3 separate regions of the Mus musculus genome follow, and regions 1 and 2 are each reported to be linked to region 3. The links are microRNA targets in miRTarBase. Many come from high-throughput screens and were not tested one by one. Region 3 holds a microRNA gene; each other region holds the end of a gene's coding sequence.
Evidence for each region. The annotated mature microRNA mmu-miR-1839-3p reads AGACCUACUUAUCUACCAACAGC and lies in region 3 at 2,988-3,010, opposite strand. An mRNA with a match to its seed (bases 2 to 7 or 8) in the 3' UTR can be bound and repressed. Matches are read on the target gene's strand: a 7mer-m8 pairs with bases 2 to 8, a 7mer-A1 pairs with bases 2 to 7 and ends in A, and an 8mer does both.

Region 1: the mRNA of Myo9a is a reported target of mmu-miR-1839-3p. Seed matches in the 3' UTR shown: 7mer-A1 at 2,903-2,909, 7mer-m8 at 3,101-3,107, 7mer-A1 at 3,601-3,607 and 7mer-A1 at 4,279-4,285.
Region 2: miRTarBase lists Reep3 as a target of mmu-miR-1839-3p. Seed matches in the 3' UTR shown: 8mer at 2,468-2,475.

What each region holds. Positions count from the first base shown.
Region 1 is chr9:59,924,184-59,929,645 of GRCm38, forward strand. Myo9a (myosin IXa) reads left to right here. Exons shown (of 44, transcript NM_173018.2): 44 at 388-4,683. The coding sequence ends at 848. All of the region lies in intron 2 of Gm20275 (predicted gene, 20275), which reads right to left. Among named protein-coding and RNA genes, the nearest start is that of Gm20275, 14 kb to the right of the region's middle.
Region 2 is chr10:67,008,870-67,014,331 of GRCm38, forward strand. It overlaps Reep3 (receptor accessory protein 3), which reads right to left. Exons shown (of 8, transcript NM_178606.5): 8 at 320-4,917. The coding sequence ends at 4,861. The region is part of intron 1 of Gm31763 (predicted gene, 31763); the gene reads left to right. Among named protein-coding and RNA genes, the nearest start is that of Gm31763, 6.5 kb to the left of the region's middle.
Region 3 is chr7:81,527,506-81,532,967 of GRCm38, reverse strand. It overlaps Mir1839 (microRNA 1839), which reads right to left and starts at 3,052; the gene lies at 2,980-3,052. It overlaps 2900076A07Rik (RIKEN cDNA 2900076A07 gene), which reads right to left. Exons shown (of 4, transcript NR_160675.1): 2 at 4,028-4,181; 3 at 3,441-3,621; 4 at 1,470-1,757.

The sequences.
Region 1 (5,462 bases), not on the chromosome of region 3:
AGACAGGGTTTCCTGGCTGTCCTGGAACTCACTTTGTAGACCAGGCTGGCCTCGAACTCAGAAATCCGCCTGCCTCTGCCTCCCGAGTGCTGGGATTAAAGGCGTGCGCCACCATGCCCGGCAATTTTTTTTTTTAATGTTAAAAAAAACTTTCTCAGGTTCAGTCTGGTTGGTGGTGCATACTTTTAATCCCAGATTCAGGAGACAGATCGCTGTAAGTTTGAGGCCAGCTCCAAGACAGCTTTTACAATAATGATTCTGCACAAAAGAGATTGACTAAATCCTCAGAACTTTTTACCCATTCAGTTTCACATGTGAACAGTAGCTTCATTACATGATGTTGCATAGGTAGACACTATTATGTACAACTTTATTTTCTGTTTTTAGAGAGAAGTTTAGCCCTTAGCTCCCTGAAAGCAGCTGGCAAGTCTGAACCTTCAAGCAAGTCGCGGAAGCAGCTAAGAAAGCAGCCAGACTCTCTAGACTCCGTCAGCTCCTCCGTTTCTTCATGTCTATCAAACACTACATCATCTCATGGCACTAGAAAGCGATTTCAGATTTATTCCAAGTCTCCATTTTACCGAGCTGCTTCAGCTTGTGAGGCCCAGGGAACGGAAGGACCGCTAGGCCAAGCCAAATCCCTAGAAGACAGGCCTCAGTTCATCAGCAGAGGAACCTTCAACCCTGAAAAGGGCAAACAAAAACTAAAGAATGTGAAAAACTCACCTCAGAAAACCAAAGAGACCCCAGAGGGGACAGTCACATCTGGCCGAAAGAAAACTGTGGACTCAGACTGCAGCTCCACACAGCAACTACCACTGTTTGGAAATAATGAGTTTATGGTCTAAATGGACAGATGTGTCCCCAGATCTCATCTTTGGGGCCTCTTCTGGTCACCTTGTTTGTAACAGTCGGTCCTAATGGTCCTGCCTCGTTTCAGCAGACAGATTGTATGCTGGATCACTGGGCTTCTGGCAAAAGTGGCCGCTTTGAAGTTTGCTAGGGATGGGCCAGCTGTGCCTTGGCTGCTGTATTTGATTTGAGAGTCCACTGAACAAAGCCACCTGGGACCTGGGGGATTTTGGCCAATAATAGTTGCTTCTTGCCCACCTACTTTTCCCTTCCCACAGATAGTTGCTGAACTAGGGAGCTATTGTGATCCTGAGGTATGCTCTCATTTCTAGCATTTAAAGAAAACATACAAACCTCTGTTAACCATGGAAACAAAAGCTTTTGAGTTTGTATTGGAATAGTTAGGAACTGTGTTAGAATATAAAAATTTCCCCAAGGATTTATAAGCCCTCTATTTTAAATTTAATTACAAAACATTCAATGTTATCTTTTGGAAACCTAAACTGATTTCCATTAAGCCCAGAGTGTCTCAGCTACAGGAATGTGAAGAGACCATGCTTTGTCTCTTGTTGATATTTGGTATTATAGTCAGTGCTGGTTTAACGCTTGGTTAATTCCTGCCAAATATATTTCATGGGGTAAAGTTCTGGTAGCCATACTGTATTGGTATGCCCTGATTATAGATCAGACTCCTCTAGGTTTTTGTTTGAAATATGTCACAGGCACATTTAGGTAATTCCTAAATGTGAACGCATCATCCTGATTGATCCAAGCTTTTCTTTTTGTATAAACTGAAGACTGTATCCGAGCCTACTCATCTGCTGGTGGAGTACCACCATAGATGTAACCATTTCATCACTTATCTAGGAGTACTCACATACATACAACTGTGCATGAGTGTTATAGAAAAAGCCGCCAAAAGAAGTCTAGAAAGTTTAAATATGATCTATTTAATTTTTGTCTTCTTATCAGACCATCAGTATTAGATGAAAAAAATCAAGGACTACTTGAAGCTATTTTTGTTAATATTCTTGTTCCTGAAGTTTACTGTAAATACACATGTATAATATGCCTAGTTCTTTTTAACCTTGTGCTTTCCCCTTATTCCCATTGAGTTTCTCCCTACAGATAAGAGGCCATTAGACAGGTGGTGAGAGCCATTCACCCCCGGGGTGAGGAATAAGTAAGGGCATCTTTTTCATCACTGGTAGTTTCCATAAGTTATAATGTCAGAAGCATCATGTACTAGCAATTGTGGGACTAGAACTCTGTTTTTGCTATTTATGTTATGTGAAGTGAAACATGATACCATTTCTTAAGTATATGAAATGTTTATTTTTAAAGTCACTAAATACATTTTGTCTAACTACCACATGCACTGTTACAAGAAGAGCCTTTAATATCCATAACCTGAATTTTGGTTTTCTCCTCCTCCTCTTCTTTTCCTTCTCCTCCTTCTCCTTTTTTGGTTTGAAGTTACAGGAATAGAAGTCTTTTGTTAAGGCAAGGTCTCTCCTCCTACACAACACTGAACCTCACGCCACTGCAATAGTGGTCATTGGCCGGCTCTAGAGATGAGACTTGTAGCATTATTTTGCACAGCAGCTCATGGTGGCTGGAGTCTTCCCTCTCCATGGTATGGGTTCAGCATTGAGACACATGAAGGAAGTTTTGAAAATCTCCCCGATGATGATGGTCATTCAGTAAATGCTAACTTTTATATCCCTCCAGCATTAACAATAAGAGTTTTGGAAACTGTTCTACAGGAAGCCAGCATGGCTGTGATATGGTGGGGTGCTGTTTTGGGCCTTTCTGGCTATACAGTCTGTTATAGTATTTGGGGAAAGTAGCTGCTACTGGGTGGTAACTGTTGCTAACTGTTGCTCTCCACTTGGCTCAGAACAATTTCCTTTGTTTCAGAGGAATGTCCTGGAACTCAGCACTTGACACACATTCTCCCTCCTAAAGTTTTACAGCTCAGTTTTTTGTTTTTATTATTTCTATAAAGTAAATTTGGGGCTGAGAAAAAAAAAAAACCAACCTACCTACATAGGTCACCTTGTAGGAACTAGGTAATCAATATTAAAGACTTTATAATTTTTCTCAGGGACCTAAAACCTGAATTTGAATAAAGTTAAATAAAAACTTTTTTTTTCATTTGCTAGATTTGTGGATTTTTTAATCATTTAACAAGCCGCCAGGATGGGTGGGGGAAATCCACACAACTATAAGAATGTCTCGGCAAAGTGTAGGTCCCTGTAAGGAAAAGAGTGCTGTTGTTCTTGGGTTAGCAGGCACTATTGATCTGATAGAGACGAAGCCATAACTCAGTAGTGTCAGATGTCTGGCTCCATCAGTTCTTAACAGAGCCTCTGAATCCTCACCCATGATACAGATCCACATAGAGTTCACTGTTATGTCTGTCTAGCTGCTTTTCTTCAGTCTTAAAATGCACCAAAAGAAACTCTCTGGCAGCAGCAGAGTGTCTCACATGTGGAACCTGTGCTCCAAACTTCAGAGCATCCTAGTTATGTCACATACTTCTAGTCCACAATAACTCCTACATTTTTCCCTACTCATTAATATGTGTCTGTAGCTGTGTGTCATAGAAAATGTAGCAGAAGCAAACAATACATTTTGCATCACAGACTGAAGCAAATTACAGCAAATGCAGGCAGGATTCAGGGAGGTGACACACTTAGTTTGCACATATTTGTACTTCCTGCCATTTTGATTATATGACCATTCTAGGTCATACACACAAACGGAGATATGAGTATTGCTAGGAGAGACAAAAGGATGTGAGTTCAGGGCACAGGTCACTAGGGCCAGCTCTCAGGCTTTGGAAACCTATCACTCTCACCTTGCATAGGGTATGAAGACTGTTCTGTGTCTCAATCAAAGACAGTGTCACGGAAATGTGCTCATATGAGGTGATACATTGAGGCTGTATCATTCCACCTTTGTGCCTGTGAGCTGTGTTTTCAACTGTAACTAATAAGCTAGAGCGAAGGAAGGATTCTCAGGTGTGTGACGCTGAGAGTTATAACTGGAGAAAGAAGTTTGTCCAGATGGCTTTCTCACTTTAAAAATTCTTGGTGGGGAAATAGATGTGGGCCCTGCATTCTTCTGTGTTGAATGGTGTGTTATATGCACCCACACACTTGTGATAACTTCCTAGCACTGTGTCCCAACACCATGCTGGCCTTAGTAGTAAAATTTTTTAGGTATTTGTAGAAGACCTGACTTTCTGCATCCCTAAGAGACCACATTTCTCTGGAACATTCTCACACTTTTGGTGTTAAGTGGGTAATCTCCAGTGTATTAGATCTTACTGATCTCCTGGTTTAAACTTCAAAAAAGCCCTAGCAATGGGTCTGTCACCTTGTCACCTGTCCACTCTTAATGCCTATTTATCAGCCCTCTTAGGTCATATAAGAGTTGCACCTCTTGAACCAAGTATTTGTATTTACTATGGGAAAGGTGTAGACTACAGATTAGTATTATATTATTTTAATGGACTCAAAGTAATTTATAAGTATGGTGAGTGTAAAGTTTTAAAATACTGTGTATTATAAAAGGACACAACCTGTGAAATATGCCACTTTACTGTTTAAGAATTCTATAAGAATGACTTATTCACAGAACTGATTACATTCCTGATGAAATCAGCAGCACTTTGTAATTTCCTTTTTTTTTGGAAGGGGGCAAGACATTTGTATAAAGTGCAGTTTGTGTCACTCAGAGTATGCACTGTATAGCTACACAAAAGCAGCCTGCTGAACAAATCACTCCATGGCTCATTAAAGAACAAAGCTTCCAGAAGTGCAATATGTGTGGTTTGTTTTCTGGCTTCCAATCAGACTCATAGCCCAAAGGAACACCACTTACTACTTATACTAATAAAATTAAAGGAAAGGATCCAATTCCCAACTGATGAGTGCAGAAATGACAGCTGTTAGAACTCAACTGAAGAAGAGCAAGCCAAGGTCAAGGAGAGAACTAGAGGCACCTAGCAGTCACTTCCTGTGAAGAAAAAAACCCAAACAACAATGTATAGTTGAATTTTCCAGTGAGGGACAGTTGAAAGAAGGACTTCAGAATCTTATGAGATTCAGAGGCCTGGGACAAAGCTACAGTAAAAAACAAATATTCTGACACCTGGAGACCCTGCCTCACAACAGGGAAGGAAAGCTGATGCAGCTTTATAGAGATGCAGGGGGAAAAGTCTCAGCTCACACAACCAGTCTGGATTCTGGCAATCCCAGCTGTTGGAATGATTCACAACCCACACCAGCTTAGATAGCTAACCTAAAGACTGTACAGTAGCCTTGCTTTGAAAACAATTCTTATATCATCTTCCTGTGAGCCCTCAGTGCTGTAACTAGGAGCTACCTAAGAAGAGGACTTCTGTTTTAATCAGGATGGCTCCAGGGATCAGAAAACCTTACACATTCCTGGCTCTGAGAACCCATAGATGTATTGTGTTAGCTCATCAGCTGGCTGCCTTGTGATCCCAACGTTGCTGGAGAAGTACCTCTGAGTCAAATGCACTGCTGAGTACATGGTACAAAGGGGATGGTAGTAGAGGGTGTTGCCTATAGTGTCAC
Region 2 (5,462 bases), not on the chromosome of region 3:
GACAGAACTCCAGAACACTTTCAGCATCCACAAACCTGAATTTTCTGTTAACACTCGATGCTGAAGACAGTCTGTCAGTCACTGTGACAAAGTTCCTGTGGTGTCTGCCCTGCTTCTCTGTCTTAGCATCCAGACTTCACAACCCAGGACTCCTTCCTCAGCCCAAGTGAAGCTTTACAGAAAGTAACAACAGTCCTGACTTGCTGCAAGCTGAAGGACATGGACATGTTCTCTGTTACTAATAACGAACAATAAAGGACATCAATTCACAGACTTCAACATACATATTCAGACACATAAAGAAAAAAAAATACTCAGCTGCCACTAATAAAATGAGTTTACTTTATTGTAAAAGTTTCCCAAAACACACATGCAGAGCCACCCACATTTGGGGCTTGAGATTTAACAGAGATTTTATAAAATTATTTCCACTTAAAGTATTAAAGTACACAGAGTTAAAAAATATATATTAGAAGGAAAAAAATGTTAAGTCAAGGTTAATCGGCAGAATTCCCACTAAAAGACTAACTTGAGAAGTACTTAGGAAAAAAAGATACTTTCTTTTCAGAAAAAATTTAATCTTAGGGTATGTTTCTTAAGAAATAGTACAAACCACAAAACAATGACCCTCTCAAATTTTACCTGTTTCACAAATAAGTCAACCTAAAAGGGAGAGGTCAGAGGACACGCTTTGGAACTTGTGTTCAGATTTCTGTATTTAGATCTTCATTCGTTGTCTCCCCCGCCCCTCCAATGGCAGACAATATTCCAATGAAAAAACCCTACAGTTAATATAAGACAGTATTATAGTAATACCATTAAGGTTCAGGCATTTCTCCAAATGTACAAAAGAGAAAGAAGACGATGTAGCCAAGGGCTGACGTCATTTTAGAGTAGTTACATGTTTTATAATACTGTGGAAGTCTTTGGTGGTGACACATGGAATAAGATCCCTGAAAACACATGAGGAGTTAGTTCTGTCCCAGACCTCTATGTGCTAAAGTGTTTATTGCTAGAAACGATAGCAAGATCTCATTTTTTTAGCCCTAGAAAACACACACAGTGTGTGTGGAGGGGACCTATGAGGAACTGAGGTGGCCGTAGACAATTGTTTATGTAGTAATCAGCTTATTTCTGGTTCCTTTTTGTTTTTCACAGGATTTTTTTTTTTTAATTTCAAATGATGTGTGTATGTGTATCCGTGAGAAAGAATGTTCACATGCACGTAGGTGCCCTTGGAAATCAGAGGAAGGTATTGTACCCCCAGGAGCTGGCACTGCAGGCTGCAGTGAACTAAACACCTGGCTTAGGCACTAAGAACTGAATCCAGGTCCTCTGTAAGAGCAGTATGCATTCTTAAAACAGAGCCATCTCTCCAGCTATGGCTCTTCTTAATACCAGAAAGGAAAAAGAAAGACACAGTATAGACATATCAATTTTTATACTTAAACAACAGCTAAGTACGGGGAATGTTAGTGATCATGCTGAACGACTGGATACTAAGATGAAATGCTAGTAGGCTATAATTTTTGGATACATGTCAAAAGGCAGAGAGAAACAGTGCCTTAAACCGGTTTGTGCATTCGCGTGCTGGTGCTCCAGTTGGCAGTGTGGGTTAAGTCAAGGCACTGTGGTCTATGAATAAATTTACATCTCTTGAAAAAATCAGCATGCTCAAAAGCAGAAACAAACAAGGTGACCCGGTCCTCTTTAAGAGAAACAGAACAAAACAGCGCTTTAGCTCAGCATACAGAGTTCAAAGAAAAGGGCATGCTATGACATGAGACCTTGGGGACAGAAACAAAGCGGGGTAGGACAGTCATCAAGCGCATATGAGCATGTCTACAGCAGGGACAAGCCCGAGCAGGGACCAGGACCGGGAGGGTGAACGGCAGTGAGCAGGTCAGCCAACTTTAGCTCCGAGTCAGGCGGTATCTTTGCTTGAGAATTTTGATTCTAGAACGTGATATTTCTCCCAATTTAAAACGCCTGTGAAGTAGGGTATGGAGCCACACACCTGTAATCTCAGCACTTAGAAGGCGGAGGCATAATGTTGTTGACTCTAGCTGCATATGTATCAAAAGATGGCCTAGTCGGCCATCACTGGAAAGAGAGGCCCATTGGACACGCAAACTTTATATGCCCCAATACAGGGGAATGCCAGAGCCAAAAAATGGGAATGGGTGGGTAGGGAAGTGGGGGGGGGGGAGGGTATGGGGGACCTTTGGGATAGCATTCCAAATGTAATTGAGGAAAATACATAATAATAAAAAATATTTAAAAAAAAAAGGCGGCGGAGGCATCCAGAGTGACCATATACTGGAAGTAAGCCTGGGCTACACAGTGCATTTCAGGCTGGCTAGAGTGAGGCTTAGTCTCAAAACAACTTGGGCATGGTGGGACACACCTCTAATGGCAGCATCTGGGAGGCAGCGGCAGGTGGAGCTTTGTGAGTTTGAGGCCAGCCTGACCTACAGAGTGAATTCCAGGACAGCCAGGGCTACACAGAGAGACTCTGTCTCACAAAACAAAACACCCTCCACCCAAACAAACAAAAGTCAAAAGAAGAAACAAATAGTATACAAACTCATTAAATAATAATAAGTTTGTTTTAACTATCTTTTTTTTTTTTTTTTTTGGTTTTGGGATTGAACTCAAGGCCTTGTGTACCTCAAGCATGGTGTCTATCCTTAGCTCCTAAGGGTAAGTTTAATACTGATACTGGACTTGAATATGATACAATCTTGCCAATTTGTCCCCATGGAGACAAAGTAACTTACTGTACTTATCACATCACCTTATCAGGTAACACGGCCTCTGCAGGGAAAACCACCCATGCCGCACAGCATTGGTTCAGAGCAGGTCTGGTTCATGAGAAATGAATACATCCTGTCCAATAATTTATTGTGGGACTTTATAGATGTTTGAATAGAAATTAAAGAATCCTTTTCGAAAGGAAGAGGCTATTAGTCAAAGCAAAGTAGATGGAGATACAAGATTAAATTGGGGAGGAAAAAGATTGAATTTTTATTTCGTGTTAAAAATATTAACAATGTGATTCTGTGTAGAAAATATTCGTAGTATCAAGAGGTCATTGTGTGTGTGGGCCATTCAGGCACCCCCATGTAAGCATTGTTTGATATTGAAAATTTGATTATTCATCACCCCAATATGATTTAGTGTCCACAATGTCCAGTTAGTAGGGCAACCTAAAAGGAGCTGAGTTCAATCCCTCTAAATCTGTTAGATTAAAAAGAAGGCCTTTAGCCTGGTCTCCAGAGTGAGTTCCAGGAGAGCCAGGGCTATACAGAGAAACCCTGTCTCGAAAAAAAAAAACCCAAAAATAAAATAAAATAAAATAAAATAAAAGATGGCATTTTTCTGGAAGCCTGTTACGTAGCATCAATGGTGTTTGTGTTTTACCCTGACACTCATTTTCAGAGAATAATCTCAGGCAGAAAAAGATCTAAAAGATGTTAGTCATTGCTGGGTCTGTAAGGCAGCATAGGCCTCTGCCGAGCTCAGGAGCTGAGTGTGGGCATTGGGAAGTCCATGAGTTAGAAAACACTAAGTGCTACATTGGTCTGTGACGCTTCCACAAAATCAATCTATCTATCTATCTATCTATCTATCTATCTATCTATCTATCTATCTATCTAATATCTATCTATCTATCTATCTATCTATCTATCTATCTATCTATCTATCTATCTCTATCTAATGTGCATTGGTGTTTTGCCTGTACGCATATCTGTGTGAGGGTGTCAAATCACTTGGAGCTGGATTGCAGACAGTTGTGAGCTGCCACGTGGGTGATGGGATTTGAACTCAGGACCTCTGGAAGAGCAGCCAGTGCTCTTTACCTCTGAGCCACCTCTCCAGCCCCCAAAAGCTTTTTTTTTTTTAACCTAGAATAACCTAGAATAATTTGCTGTTGAGAAAAACCACATCAAATTCAATGATGGAAACTGGTTAATGTTTAAGATAACTTCTCAGATGTCCGGAATATAACTGAAGGGCATTTAAAATGAGCCAAGTGTGATAACGTCTGTTATCCCAGCAATGGCGAAGTGGAAGCAGGACGAGGATCAGGGAAGAGACCCTACCTCAATAAAACAAAACAAAAGACTACAAACTTAACAGTTATGTGTCTATAATGGGCTGAATGGATTTACCAAACGAAACAAACCCATAGGAAAAGGAGATGACGCGGTTTCAAGGCATGATCTTGACATGTCGGAATATGACAGACAACAAAACAGACAGCATCAGGAAAATGTAAATGTACAGTTGTAAAATAAGTAAACAATTTTCAAGTGTGCAAAACTAGCCAGGAAAGTGCTATGTGGACACCTGGTTTTCAAATCATTTGTTTAAAAAACTTTCAGCGTCTAAGGCTTAAGGAAGGACACAGCCCCCTCCTATGGCAATGACACTGGCTCCTCAGGGGCTGTCACCACTCTCCTGTGATAGATGCAGGCAAGATGATGTAAACAGAATGCAACACCAGAACGGCAGGCAGGTGTGTCCTGGAGCAGAGACTTTTGAAGTCTGCCCTGGGTCTAGCTAGGCTTTATCCTTAGGCCCTAGGCACTCAGTGTTGCTGCTGACATCAGGGACGCGATTCTCGGTCACTTTTGTTATCTACACGTACATTTACAAACCTTACATAACTAAGTTTAGCAGTTAAACATCTAAAAGTAATTGTTAAAGAAACACAGACCATTTAAAGTCATTGCGTAAATCCCATCCCTGCCACACTCTGAAGATTTAAAGTGTTAAGCCCTGAATACATCAGGTTAGAAAATGAAGTTGATCTGTTAGCGGTTTATTCATCTTGGGAAGGGCAAGGTGTAGACACTAAAAATACACTTGCGGTCTCTTCTTCACTTTATATTTTAGTGAGCCATACCGCACCTGAAGAAAGAAAAGTGTTAGGGTTAACAATAGGAAAGCCAAAATGACTATGGAAAAGCCGTTAAGGATTTGTTACTCTGTATACTGGCTAAACCAAACTAAAACAAACAAAACTAAAGGGACTGACTACTTTTTAAAATTAGGAAAGTTTTAATATTTTGTCGCCATAGTAACGGTTTTACTCATCTGGCATAAAGAATCAGCTTCTTTGTCAGCTGCTTGGGAGACCCAAGCCTGATGACTGTAAGTTCAGGATCTACCTGGGCCTGGGCCACAGAATGACAACTTACTGAGTTCTTACCTCAAAATAAAATGTGCTGCTAATGTAGCTCGGAAGTGTCGTTCTTGCATAGCCTGCATGGGGTCCTTGTTCAATTCCTAATACAGCACCCAAGTCAATTATTCAACCAACCAATTAATCAATCAAAAATCAACCAACCAACCAACCAACCAACCAACCAGTCAACCAGCCATCAAAGCAACCAACCAATCAACCAACCAACCAACCAGTCAACCAGCCATCAAAGCAACTCCCTGGCAAGCAA
Region 3 (5,462 bases):
TGAAAACAGTGTTAGTGTTGTGACAGCAATAGAAGAGTGACTAAGACAACCATCTATCTAGCCCAGTGTTTCCTAACAAAAGCTGGCAGCAGCACGGCAAAATGCACACTGTTGAAACACGCTGTCTTCTGCTTCATGGTGGTTCTAACTCCACTCTAACTCTGAAATTACGTCCAAGATGCCTAAAGGCAGAGACTGTGTGCCTTGTTTATAACTTGACTTTGGGGGCTAACATGCCGTCAGCTGCATGCCAATACATGCTGCCTAAAGAAGCACCTTCTTCACGCTCCACTGCTCTTGGCTTCATGTTGCTCTTGGTGGGAAAGATGGCAGGGAGGAGAAAAATCTTAAGGGAGGCAGTGTGAAGAACAGAAGCTACCTGTGGCTCACTGGAGAGTTACTGCCATGCCCACACACACAATCTACTTGTGATTGGGGTGAATGGAGTCCCGAGGAAGGGGCTCAGATAGATGGAGATAAGAGAAAGAGCATTAGCTAGGATTCATCAAGGAACCATCAAGAAGTGAAAAAGCAGTGGATTTGAAGCCAAGGACTGGGTCCAACTGCTATTTTGTATCTACTTGCCTAAAACCTACAGACCAGTGCTCCCCATCAAACAAAGGAAAGACTGTATTTGTCTCATAAGGATGTGATGCTTCATCTAAACCTAAGTGCCAAGTAATGAGTGACATACTGTATATTTATGATGTTTCAAGGCAATCATCAGCTCACCGAAGTCAAAGCTGGGCCCTAGGGAGAGGAACGCACTGTAGCCAGCAGCTCTTGGGTGCCCTGCCTCACTGTCTTCAGCTAAGGACCATGGTGCCTGTCTCCACCAGCTCCATTGCTGGCTCCCCTGTTCACATTTCCAATCCCCAACTCAAGTCACTGTCAAAGCTTAGCACTCCAGCTGCAGAGTAATAACTTCACTTGAGAAAAACCAGGACACTGTTGAGTACCAAGTCCCCTGATGCCGCCAACGCAGGTGTGTCCTACTCACTGCCCAGGGAGACACTCTTCTCTTTAGAATTTTGTTTTCTAGCCCACCCTAATTCTGATGCAGTAACAACTCTCGTCTCCTTCTGGACTCTACTAGTGCAAGCAGCAGCTCAGATTCCTGATTTATCACTTGCCCACAGAGCTTGTCTGTCTGTCTGTGTCTCTCTGTCTCTCTTTCTCACACACACACACACACACACACACACACACACACACACACACACACACACAACTTCTTCTTACCCTGACATAAGGCACTGCAGATGTAAACACAAGCTGGCTGAAGCTGTTAATGAAATATGCATGTGTATTTAGTGAAAGAAGTTCTCTACTACTGAAATAGAAACCACCAAATGGGAAACGTGGATCACAGGCATGGGCAGTTTGAGTTGTCTACTGGGATTCCTGCACTGCTTTGCACATAACACAAATATGGGGACATGACTAAAACATAATACCCAAAAAATTTTGATAGTTTTTTTTTTATTTAACAAGATATCTTTGACATTTAAAATTTACTGGAGTAAGGGATAACCAACTTCAAGCATCACAGTTACTAACCATAAAGAACTTTGTTTAAGCATGTTATCTTTAGGAAGAAAAATAAATCTTAAAAAAAAAAAATGAGGGGGGAAACCCTGCTGGGTCTGTGATATATTCCAAGTCCTTATAATCCCATGTAGAAGCTGATGAAACTCAATTTCAAACAGGGGCAAGGTTTACCTCATGGCCATGTGCAGCTGCAACCTCTGATAAATCTGTTAAAACACAAAACAGATAAACATTTAAAAACATTTTTTTATATGTGAGTATCTGTATGTTTGTTTGAGATAGGGTCTCACTATGTAGCCCTGGGGGGCCTATAACTCGGCCAGGCTAGCCTTGAACTCCACGCTCAACATAGAAAAGTATCTTTAACACTGAGACCACTGTCACACGACCCTGATACTAAGCAGATAAACCAAACTCCATCAACATCCGCTCTTCTCCCGCTTTACCTGCCCCACCGCGTTAACTCTTGACTGAGTGAGCGCACGGGTGTTGGCTCCACACCCTAGCAAAGGGGAGAGAGTCTGTAAAGCCTTCACAGGACGTGGGTGGAAACTGCAAGCATTTAAAAGCCACACTACCCAGAACATAACAAGTAGCAGAGAGAAGGAACAAGTAGTTAGGAACATGGGCTATAAAACAGCATTGGCTTCTGGTAAACTAAATAGCTTTCATTCACAGAATTACTTTTTTTGTTTTGGACTTTGTTGGTGGTGGTGGCTATTTGGTTTGGGTTTTTTGAGACAGTGTCTCACCAGGTAGCCCAAGATGACCTTACACTTGTGGCAAGCCTCCTGCTTCAGCTTCTCAAATGCTGAGATTACATGCATGAGCCACTATAAATGGCAAAAAATTGGTATGTTTAATGGCTGGCTCCTGGGGCTGGTAAGGGTACTTGTTACCAAACCTGAGGACCTGAGTTCAATCCCCAAATCCGACACCATGGAAGGAGAGTTGTCTTTGAACTTCATGTGTGCCACGGCACATAAGCCCCCTCTTCACTCTTCATCACACACACACACACACATACACACACACACACATATCAGCTCCCTGCCTTTTCAAATGATGGTAATCACTTGTGCACATGAAATAAAATATTTCTGAAGCGTGTACTTGCCCTTTAGTACAAACAGAACCAGTTTATGGGCAGCTGGGCGTCTCAGCGTCTCACCCTCACATCTGGTACAACTACTGCCCTACGTGACCCACCTACAATTCATTGTGATGCAGAATTGTGTAAGTGACAATACACTTTTTGGATTCCTCAAACCTGCATTATAGGAAACAAGTTCTCAACTTTCTAACCCGCCTGTCTGACCTCCAAGCACCTTTCTATCACTAGTAGAGACTGTGTCCACTCTGGCTTTCCCAGCCTTCCTCATCTAGGAGTTCACTGCACCCACTTCTTGTAGGAAGACTGTGGGACGTAGGCAATGGCTGTTGGTAGATAAGTAGGTCTTGAATTTATTTTGCAAACAAGACCTGTTCTATCTACCTTTTCATGTAGGAGGCTAAAGGCAGAGTCAGCTTGACTTCAAGGACTCTATTGTCTTAGTCTCCAGAAGAATATGACTAAATCCACCTATTGTTTTAACTGAGCATGCCTGGAATCCCAGAACTTAGAAGGTAGAGTCAGGAAGATCAAGGGTTCAAGGTAATCCTATGCTCAATAGCAAGTCTAAAGCCAGCCTGTGCTGCATGAGACCCTGTCTGAAGAAACTAAACTAGAAGTTAGGCATGCTGGCTCAACCCTGTAATCTTGGCACTTAGCAGGCTGAAGCAGGAGGACTGCCAAGTCTAAGTCAGGACAACAAAATGAGACCCCAGTCTTAAACCCTTGTGTTACAGACAAGATCTTTAAGAGCCATGAACGCTGAAGACATGCTTACCTTACTGTCAATGGTTAACAGAGCTAAACGCAAGGCAACAGTTTGCCTGTCGGTATCTGCCATCAGCAAGGAGAGTACCCATGACATGGCACCATTGCCACCAAAAGAACCGCTGCTGCCTGGGTCCTGTCAGTTCACTGTGTGCCACCACATCACTGTTGGTTTTCTGCTGACACCAATCCTGGAATAAATGAGGTTAGACTCACCGTTTGACTTTCCTTCCTTTTCTCAAGCTCTAACAGAATATGGTTTCTCGTGTTCTCACTTACTCAAATTTGGCAGAACTAACCCATCATTTTTTTATAAATTATTTTTCCATAAGCCGCCAGCATTTTGCCTCTGCCATTTCCTTGCACATGGCAAACATTAATCTAAGGGGAGAGAAGCAGCAAGAGCGAAACAGGAAGTGAAAACAAGGCCGGCACACTGGGAAAAGTGTAAGACTCCGTACTGTCTTATTACCATGTACACTGTATAAGCCATCAACTAGGAGATCCCTAACACCTACAGCGCAGCTCCTCCTGTCCTCCTGATGGCTCTAAATCACCTCTGAGACGCACTGGCTGACTCCCACCTCTCACACTCACCGTTTACAGAACACTCAAGTGTTGATATTGCGACCACTGGCTTGTGTCTTCTCCACTTGAATTACACACATCTAAGGCATGGGTGTGGCTGCATATTCTCTGCATGACCCAAGGCAACAACTGCCCTGGGCTTTCAGGTAATACATATATATACCTGAAGAGAGAAATGAGACATCAACTTATCCCACAAATCAAAGGAAAGCTTTTCCATTAGAAATCAAAGCAGCCGTCCAGTGTATGCTCTTGGGGCTGTGGGATGAGGCTAAGTTGTCTTCTGTCCTAATACCTAGGGGTCTGACACAGTCCCTCAGTAATTGTAGTTACTTCTGATCTGTGCAGAGAATGAGTGTGGAAGGACCAAGGCTGGTGCTGGATGTCATTAGTACAAGAGAGCTCTGACACTCACATTTAATACTTGCTGTAGCATTGACTATTCCTAAGATAACCCGAAGGTCTATCATATGTTATTTTACAAGCTCTGAATCATAAATTTGGTTCATAATTCTTGGTCCAGATAAATGTATAAATATTCCTCTAACCCACTAAGTTTAACCACCTACCTGACATTTTAAGCATGTCTTAGTTTGGTTTTTATTGCTGTGAAAGACACTATGACCAAGGCAACTTTTACTTGGACAACATTTACTTGGGGCTGGCTTACAGTTTCAGAGGTTTAGTTCATTATGATCAAGGCCGGAAGCATGGCAGTGTGCAGACAGACGCCAAAAGTTCTACATCTTGATCCACAGGCAGCAGAAGGAGACTGTATGTCACACTGGGTGTAACTTGAGCATAGGAGACATCATAGCCTGTCCTCACAGTGACACAATTCATCCAACAAGGCCATACCAACTCTAACTAGGCCACACCTCCAAAAAGTGCCACTCCCTATAGGTAAGCATTCAAACACTTATACCTATTCAAACTATCTCAAGGTACAACGTAAGACATATTGGCTATTTTTAGTTTACTGTAGAGGGCACAGAGCCCTGGTGCTCACATATAAGCACCAGGGAAACCAGGAATGTTAAACACGCGGAGCTGTCTCTTCAGAGGAAAAGATGTCTAACCTATTCTCTGCCCAGAAGGCTGAGAATGGATGTTGTTAAAAGCCCGGTGACCTCTGTGCTATTTGTAGGGCCAGGCCACACCTGTCTCCATCCCTTAAAAACAGAACTGGAGATGGTTAATAGTGTAGTGACCTTTGCACTATCTGTATGACTGAGACCACATCCAGAGCCTGGAGATCTTCTCCAAGACCCTGAAGATAATGCATGTAGTCTATACAGACTCCATGATGGATTCTATACCTACCATGAAGAAGTGACACATACTTTGAAAAGAGTTTCAAGGTAACCATGCCCTACCGGCACATGGAGTTATACAAGGAAACATTTTCCAAACTGTACTATATAAAATATACCTTAAATAAACC